Saccharomyces cerevisiae S288C: one gene and its partner. Changing the gene in region 2 together with the main gene of any one other region gives a genetic interaction. Each region holds a gene or a part of one and is shown on either strand. Other genes may lie near its edges. The genes, in order: MFG1 and SDS24.

Region 1 (4,092 bases), on a different chromosome or scaffold from region 2:
AATTTCTTTCCATAATGTCCATGAAGTGCGTAAAACACCAAAACGTTTTCCATTCTTCCTTCATGATGACATAAATAGGCGATAAAAGATCGGTCATCCCCTGCACGTAGCCTAAGTTTGTGTTGTAGACATTATAAGTGATAAGAATGTTTTGTAAATGTATCAAATGTGGGTTCCTGACTCCATCGTCTGCATCATCGCTCTCGTCATTAGCGGATTCGGGGCTGGTACTGTTATTTTCATTTGCTGGGAGTTGTTGTGGCGGTGGTGGTAATCCATCGATGGTATTGTATTGAAATATCTCCAAGTTTCTATCACAGCGTCTCACATCTTTAGATATTCTGAATAATTGATCGTTCCAATATTCCTCTTCATCTTCATCGTCAAATTGTAAAAAATCTTTTGACCAGGTTAGTTTCAATTGATCGTATTCCGCGGCTAAAGTTTGATCGATTTGTACCCTCTCGTCTTGAGAAGAATCCCACGGATATATTTCTAAGAGAAAACCCCAAACTTTCCCTCGCAAACTGTCATTTTCTAACCCACCATGAAATATGAAATCCTTAACTTCGTTTACCGTGACCCTCAGCCTCCCATCGTTCTCATCCCATAGCGAATTCCATTTCGCTTCCGTTAAAGGAAATTGTCTTTGCAGAGCATTATTTATTTCAGTATCACTTAATTCATCAGTTAGATTCAGGTCGTTGAAAATGTTATTCCTATACGAATCAAAGAGTTTGTTCTGCTTTTGATACCTCTCAGCTTCCTGTTTTACTCCTAATGACCAGTTTGCCAAATACACTCTTGCAGAGTCATAATCCTGTTCAATTTGTTTAACCTTCTCATTGTTCAGAAGCTTTTGCAAGTATTCATTGTCGATTTGTGATTTTTGTATGGGTGAGTTGTTAGTCAGCCAACTATCGATAAAATTGGTAGACTTGGTAGTCACGTCTGCTATCTTGCTCATTACGTTCCATTTCCATTCTTGGAATTTCTCGTTTAGTTTCACACCGGCGGTAGCGAGTTCAGTTGTATCTTTCTTCGAATTGTTATAACTTTCCAATAGATCCTTGGAAACGAAATTTCTCAAATCATTCAAAGAGGGATTTACTAACCAAAACTCTGGCTCTAAGTTTGATTTCTTGAGTTCCATCAGTTCGTTGATTTTGTTTCTCAAATCTACGCCACCCCAATACAATTCGTCCGAGTCATCAAATGGGTTCATGGATTTGCGTAGTCTTTTTAACTTGTCCGTAGTTGATGGGCAGAGTTGGTCATGAAAGAACAAGACAGGAGGTTGAAAGCCCGTAAACTGTTCTGTCAAGGGATATATTACCAGAGATCCGACATACCAACCATTTGGACTAGGAGGCCTAAATTGGATGCAGTATATTTGTGAGAGAGAAATTTCGAAAGCTTGACCTAAAGAAGTATTGACCAGGTTACTAAAGTTTATTGAATTTTCAATAACAAATGGTGTAGAAGTTGGACATGTGCCCACTTTAGCTTCATGTTTTAGTAGTTTTGATATCTCTAATGTGGATAAGCCAGATTCTGGGATATATTGGAGAATTGCTTGGTGGGATAGCTTATTCGCTTCCAATGTGAGTAGCAGGAAACCAGCAATATTATCTCTAGCATCGCTTGTTGGGTGTAAGAACACTTTAGATTTGCAGAATAGTATCTTACTCATCAGGGGATGTATGAATGACTCTTGTAGAACTTTGCCAATTTGTGCAACCTATATCTGAGAAACTGAATAGTATATTTGAGCACGATAAATTGATTTATATCTGACCAATTTATGGAAAGTTCTTAACTATTTCTTGCAAATGCGCCTCTCTTTATATAGAGCAGAACTTTGCCCCATATAGTATTGTTTAAGCCTCTCGGATTTCTTTTCTCATCTTGTGGGGCTTCCCGCCTGAACTAAAAATATTAACTATGGAGCAATAAAGACAACACTTGACACTGTTCATGGGGCAGAAGGAAAAGCAAAGATTATCTGCAATATGTACCAAGGCCCACCGCAACCGCCTCCTCAAGCTGTGCCGATGCCTTACATTGTGAATAATAACACACCACCGTACCCAAATGGTAATATTAACTTTCCTCCCACCGCGCAGCAGAATATACCGCCCACGGTTTATCCACAACAAGTGCCATTTCCAGGTCAACCACAGGGGGGTCAATTTCCACAGCCTTCATCAGAACAGCAGGTGTTTAACCAGCTTCCACAAGTGACTCAAACTTTTCACAACTCTGCGCAGAATACGAATGCAACTGGGGGCCCTGGCAGCGGGTCTATGCCAATGTTTACGCCGGTAGCATCCTTTCCCCATCCCATGGCTACAGCAGCAACGGCAGCTGCTCCGTTACCACGGTCTGCATCCCAGGCATCTTTATCTATGTTACGGGTGCCGTATCATGTAAGAAAATACTTATCTAATTTGGCGATGTTGAAATTGTACGAAATAATAAATGAGGTGAATACGGCAATGGGTAAGATTGGCCTGCTTTCATTCTGGACAGAATTAATATCAGATATTTTTACACCTGATGCAGTTATAAGGTATAGTAAAAAGTCTATGACAGATTATAGAGAATTCGAATTTATCATCCCAGTGTTCCCAGTTATTTGCTCTACATTAGGCAGATTTGGCATCGTTAGAATGGAAGTTAAGGTTTTACAATTGAAAACACAAGTTCTAAGTAATTCTACGATTTTTTTCAACTGTCCTCGTGTCACATTTGTCTATTATTATCCTGATGGTTCATATATTACACATTTTTCCCAAATGAAAGGTGCTTTCGATTTGGACTTGAAAATTAATTGGCTGGACGTATCTATGCATAGTTTTGTCCCTGATATTGAATGGAATGCAGTGGAACGGCTTTTGAGTGATGACACAAAGTCTACAGAAATTGAACAAATATTCCGTAAATTGAAACAAGAAGATGTCAAAGAGCAAGGGAATTCTTTTGCAGAAAATAATGCTACGAATGTTCCTCCGAATTTTGAGGCCATCACTCAGCTGAGATCATATTTTGACGTATTCAGAAACGTCTCTGTGTTTGGCACTCAAGAAGGGTTGATGAGAGTCATGCAAATAAGTACCGTTATGTCTACTTTGAAAAACCTTCGAAAGTTTCAAATTGAAAAGAACATTGATAGTCCCGTGACCGCCCTAAGTGCGTACATTGACGCCGACAAGAAGGACAGTGGAAGCGAGCCCTTGCACGCAAAGAGGCGACGCAACAGCGGTATCTCTCCTCGCACCACGACGTTGGGGCCAAACGGCAACTCCAATACAAGCAATGAAGAGCTTCCAACAAGTGATGTGAATGATATTAACAAAGACATGACAAAAAAGAAGATGAAGTTTTAAAGAAGGTAATTACCTAACGTCACCCACTGAAATATTAAGAGAATTGCATGAATCTAGCAGAATGGGAATGTGACATGGTAGCAGCAACCGCAAGGTGTGGCATAGATTATAGTAGTGACAAAACTGTACAATTACTATATAGTGAGATATAATACAATGGTTTATTCAAGATATATTAACCCCCGGGTAATGGACCAAATTTGGAAAAGTCTCGGATTCTCATAAAAGCTTAATAAATAAAGAGTATTTCGAAACAAACACGACAATTACACTTGCAAGTCAGTAGAGAAACCCAGTACAGAGCAAGCAAAAGATGATCTCTGATGAACAGCTGAACTCCTTGGCCATCACCTTCGGTATTGTGATGATGACTTTAATTGTCATTTACCATGCTGTTGACTCCACCATGTCTCCTAAGAACTAAAGTGGTTACATTTGGATAGCGAACTTCAGTTTTTATTATACGTCGCTTTGTGTTTCTGCAAAACAAAACAAAACTACAACTACAAAGTACTGCGTTGGATTTCAATCAGTGCTACATTAATTTTTCTCCCTTTTTACTTCGTTTTACGCACAAAAATATACAGATAAATACACTCGAGATAAACAAGACATCTCCTTCCGCTATTTTTTGTATAATTTAATATCATTATTAATAAAAAGAATTCCTATACATATATTCAAAAACAAATGTTAAAAGTTT
Region 2 (4,070 bases):
ACGATTATCACAGGAACAAGAATGGCAGCCATAGCGACCTCGTTAATCTGCAGAGATCTAATGTCCCGTATATGCAAGAAGACGGTGCACTGTACCCACACCAATATTCAAGTCCCTCATACTCGCTCCATCCGACGGGCAACCAATTCTCCAATGCTACTAATAACTTACCTCAATTTGGGAACGCGATGTCAATTTCTATGCAACTGCCCAATGGCAACAGCAATAAAACGGCCTCAAGCATGAACACAAACCCTAACACAAACATGATCATGAATTCTAACATGAACATGAACATGAACGTAAATCCAGTACCATACGGAATGGGAAACGGTGCAAATATGTATGACGTGTCCAGGATGATGACTCCTCCCTTAAATATAGCCCCGAATTCCAATAATTCGAAATCGAGCATCATGAACAAGCATCCTAATAGGAACAATGTTCCGCCAATTCATCCTTCTCTTCTACATTGATTACAAAAGACAAAAAAAGAAAATTTTAATCTTGTCCGCAGTTTTATCTGCGTCTCTACGTTCTTACGTTTCTTCTATTAATGCCATTTCAGTTACAACCTAGTCAATTGTCGATCCATAATTCTAATCAAATTTGTTTTTCCTCTATACTACCTATCTATTTTTATCTATCTAAGTACATTTATTTACTCAAACAGTTCCGTTTCAAAGTGTTTTATATTAACTATATATGCGAAAAGCTGGCGTCATAATTTCACGTGTTATAATAGCCATGCTGACGGAAAAAAAATGTGAAAATCGCTACAAAGTCCGATGACTACGGGCAGTAGCATGTAAATGATGGACACACACACACACATATATATATATATACATTTACTTCAATAAAAGGCTGTGCCAGACATTTTTGCCATACATTGTTCATGAAGTGTGCAAAATAAGAGAGTGTATAATAGGATAAAAAATGGTCAAATCGCTACAGCTAGCCCATCAATTAAAAGACAAGAAAATACTACTAATCGGAGGCGGAGAAGTCGGCTTGACAAGGTTATATAAGCTGATACCTACAGGTTGCAAGCTGACTTTAGTATCTCCTGACCTACACAAATCCATTATTCCGAAGTTTGGAAAATTCATCCAGAACGAGGATCAGCCCGACTACAGAGAAGACGCTAAACGCTTTATCAATCCGAACTGGGACCCCACGAAGAATGAAATTTACGAGTACATCCGCAGTGACTTCAAAGACGAATACCTCGACCTAGAAGACGAGAACGACGCGTGGTACATAATAATGACCTGTATACCCGACCACCCTGAAAGCGCAAGAATATATCACCTTTGTAAGGAAAGATTCGGTAAGCAGCAGCTGGTCAATGTGGCGGACAAACCTGATCTCTGTGACTTTTATTTCGGCGCCAACCTGGAGATAGGAGACCGTCTACAGATTCTGATCTCTACCAACGGCCTTTCTCCGCGCTTTGGCGCTCTAGTAAGAGATGAGATCCGTAACTTATTCACACAAATGGGGGATCTGGCGCTGGAGGACGCTGTCGTCAAACTAGGTGAGCTGAGAAGAGGAATTAGGCTGCTGGCACCAGACGACAAGGATGTCAAGTACCGCATGGATTGGGCCAGACGCTGCACAGACCTCTTCGGCATTCAGCACTGCCACAACATCGACGTAAAACGTCTGCTGGATCTTTTCAAGGTCATGTTTCAAGAACAGAACTGTTCCTTGCAGTTCCCTCCCAGAGAACGGTTGCTTAGCGAGTACTGCTCGTCTTGAGCGACAGGGCCTCCTCTTTTAAGGGGCGCGTCCTTTCTATTGTGTAGAGAAAATCTACTGGGATTTTGTATATATTTCGCATATATAGGGGTTGGAGAACGAACAACAATGCCTGTTCAGATCAACTTTTCTTCTATCTTATCAGGCAAGATCAGGCACACAACCCAACTATAATAACTATAAACACTTATAGAACAATTACCGTTTCTTCCTTCACACAACATGGCTTCTACTTCGAACACGTTCCCTCCAAGCCAAAGCAATTCTTCCAACAACCTTCCAACTTCTAGACATGCATCCATTGTGGAGATGCTGTCTACTCCGCCATTGCTGCCCCACGTTCAAGTGAACGATACAGACGACAAGGAACAACCAGAAGAGTCCACGCCGCCAACAGCAACAGCGGCAGCGCCTGGTCCAGGTTGTGCTGCTACACCCGCCCCCTTGCGCGATGAAAAGCCTCAATTCAAACTATCAGCTGTTCCTATGACCCAGACGCCATCGCAGTGTCTGTCATGTGTGCACGCCCAAAAATGGCAACACATACCGTTGTCGCAATTGATCGAACAGAATAAGCTTATTTTTGTTCCAGGTTCCATATCGGTAGAGGAGGCATTCAACACTTTGATCAAGTATCATCTAAACTCTATTCCCGTGGAATCTTTCCCCGGCGACATGAACTGTTTTACTTTCGACTACAATGACCTTAATTCGTACCTTTTGCTGGTTTTGAATAAAATCACCGTCAGCAACAAACAGCTTACTGCAGATTGCCAGAATGGAAAACCCGTACCAGTGGGCGAAATGGTGAAACTAACTCCTAAGAATCCGTTCTATAAGCTGCCGGAGAATGAGAGTTTGTCCACGGTGATGGGGATTCTCGGTTCGGGTGTCCATCGTGTAGCGATAACAAACGAAGAGATGACCAAAGTTAAAGGTATTTTGTCCCAACGTCGTTTGATAAAGTATCTTTGGGACAACGCTAGATCTTTTACAAGCTTAGAACCTCTATTAAACTCCTCATTACAAGATTTGCACATCGGTGTTCTCAATATTCAATCTAAGCCAACTTCAAGACAATCCCGTGTCATCTCTATTCAAGGCGAGGAGCCCTTAATCATGGGCCTTTATAAAATGCATGTGGAAAGAATTTCTTCCATTGCAGTCATCGACAAACAAGGTAATTTGCTAGGTAACATATCGGTAACGGACGTAAAACATGTCACAAGAACCTCCCAATACCCCTTACTACATAAGACATGTCGCCATTTCATTTCTGTCATTTTAAACTCCAGAGGATTAGAAACGGGTAAAGATTCTTTCCCCATTTTTCACGTATACCCCAGTAGTTCACTAGCAAGGACTCTTGCCAAGTTAGTTGCTACAAAGTCTCATAGACTATGGATCGTACAACCGCCGGAGTCGTCAACCTCGGCGTCATCCACAAATTTAACAGCTGCTAATACTGCAGCCAATGCAGTTTCTGCCACCGCTCAATCGTCTGCTAATGGTGCGACTCCAATGTCAAAGTCATCCTCTTCAACATCCCTCAACTCCCACTCTCCGTTGATGACAGCAATGGAAGACCCACCATCCCCACGTTCTTCGGCCATCGCGATCCCACCACCAAGTCCCGCTTCCTCAACAAACACACCAAACCTATTCGAAAAGGAATATAGAACGGGTAAGTTGATCGGTGTGGTCTCATTGACAGACATCATCAACTTATTAGCAAGGAAACAAACAGGGAATAAAGAAGTGGATCCGCAATCCGCAAGAAGACAGAGAGGCAGTATCGCCATGTGAGGCTTGCAGCGTTGTCTTTTCCCGCTGTTTCCCTCTCCCTCAAAAAAAAAAATCTTTTACAATGACTAAAAGAAAATATTGTTCATTTATATGGTTTTAAGTATTTTGTAGACATTTAAGCGTATATACTTGTTCTGAAAACATTTATATATTCTATTTTGTATATTCAACTTATTAAACTCTGACTTTTGCTATTGTCGCGTATATGTATATCTTTTTTTCTTGTCGTGGAAAATTAAAGCAAAATATGTCAGGCGAATGTACACACAATGCAGAAACTGATGCGGTTAATTTTGCATTCTGAAACGATTTAAACGAACAGCATTAACCTCCACGACCATATTCAAACGATTGGAAATGGACCAAAAAGGTATGTTCTGGCTTTATTTTCAATTATCCGCCCTTCGTTAGGGGTGTTTTAGATCATTTTGATTAACAATTCTATTTATGATAGCAATTGTCCTTGATAACTCTAAAAGTGGTAGTAAACAGACAAAATC

Evidence for each region.
Region 1: mutations in SDS24 (region 2) and MFG1 together harm fitness more than expected from each alone (negative genetic interaction), as found in Saccharomyces cerevisiae (2 studies listed by BioGRID).

Annotation. Positions count from the first base shown.
Region 1 is NC_001136.10:34,785-38,876, forward strand, and holds MFG1 (Mfg1p), read left to right. Parts: upstream 1-2,012; coding exon 2,013-3,389; downstream 3,390-4,092. Other genes in the region: GTPase-activating protein GYP7, read right to left, coding at 1-1,693; olichyl-diphosphooligosaccharide--protein glycotransferase OST4, read left to right, coding at 3,703-3,813; BRE4 (Bre4p), read right to left, coding at 4,083-4,092. UniProt on the Saccharomyces cerevisiae protein: Transcriptional regulator with a general role in all morphogenetically distinct forms of filamentous growth, namely haploid invasive growth, biofilm formation, and diploid pseudohyphal growth.
Region 2 is NC_001134.8:649,429-653,498, forward strand, and holds SDS24 (Sds24p), read left to right. Parts: upstream 1-1,986; coding exon 1,987-3,570; downstream 3,571-4,070. Other genes in the region: NGR1 (Ngr1p), read left to right, coding at 1-476; bifunctional precorrin-2 dehydrogenase/sirohydrochlorin ferrochelatase MET8, read left to right, coding at 940-1,764; HPC2 (Hpc2p), read left to right, coding at 3,928-3,940, 4,025-4,070. UniProt on the Saccharomyces cerevisiae protein: Involved in DNA replication and cell separation during budding.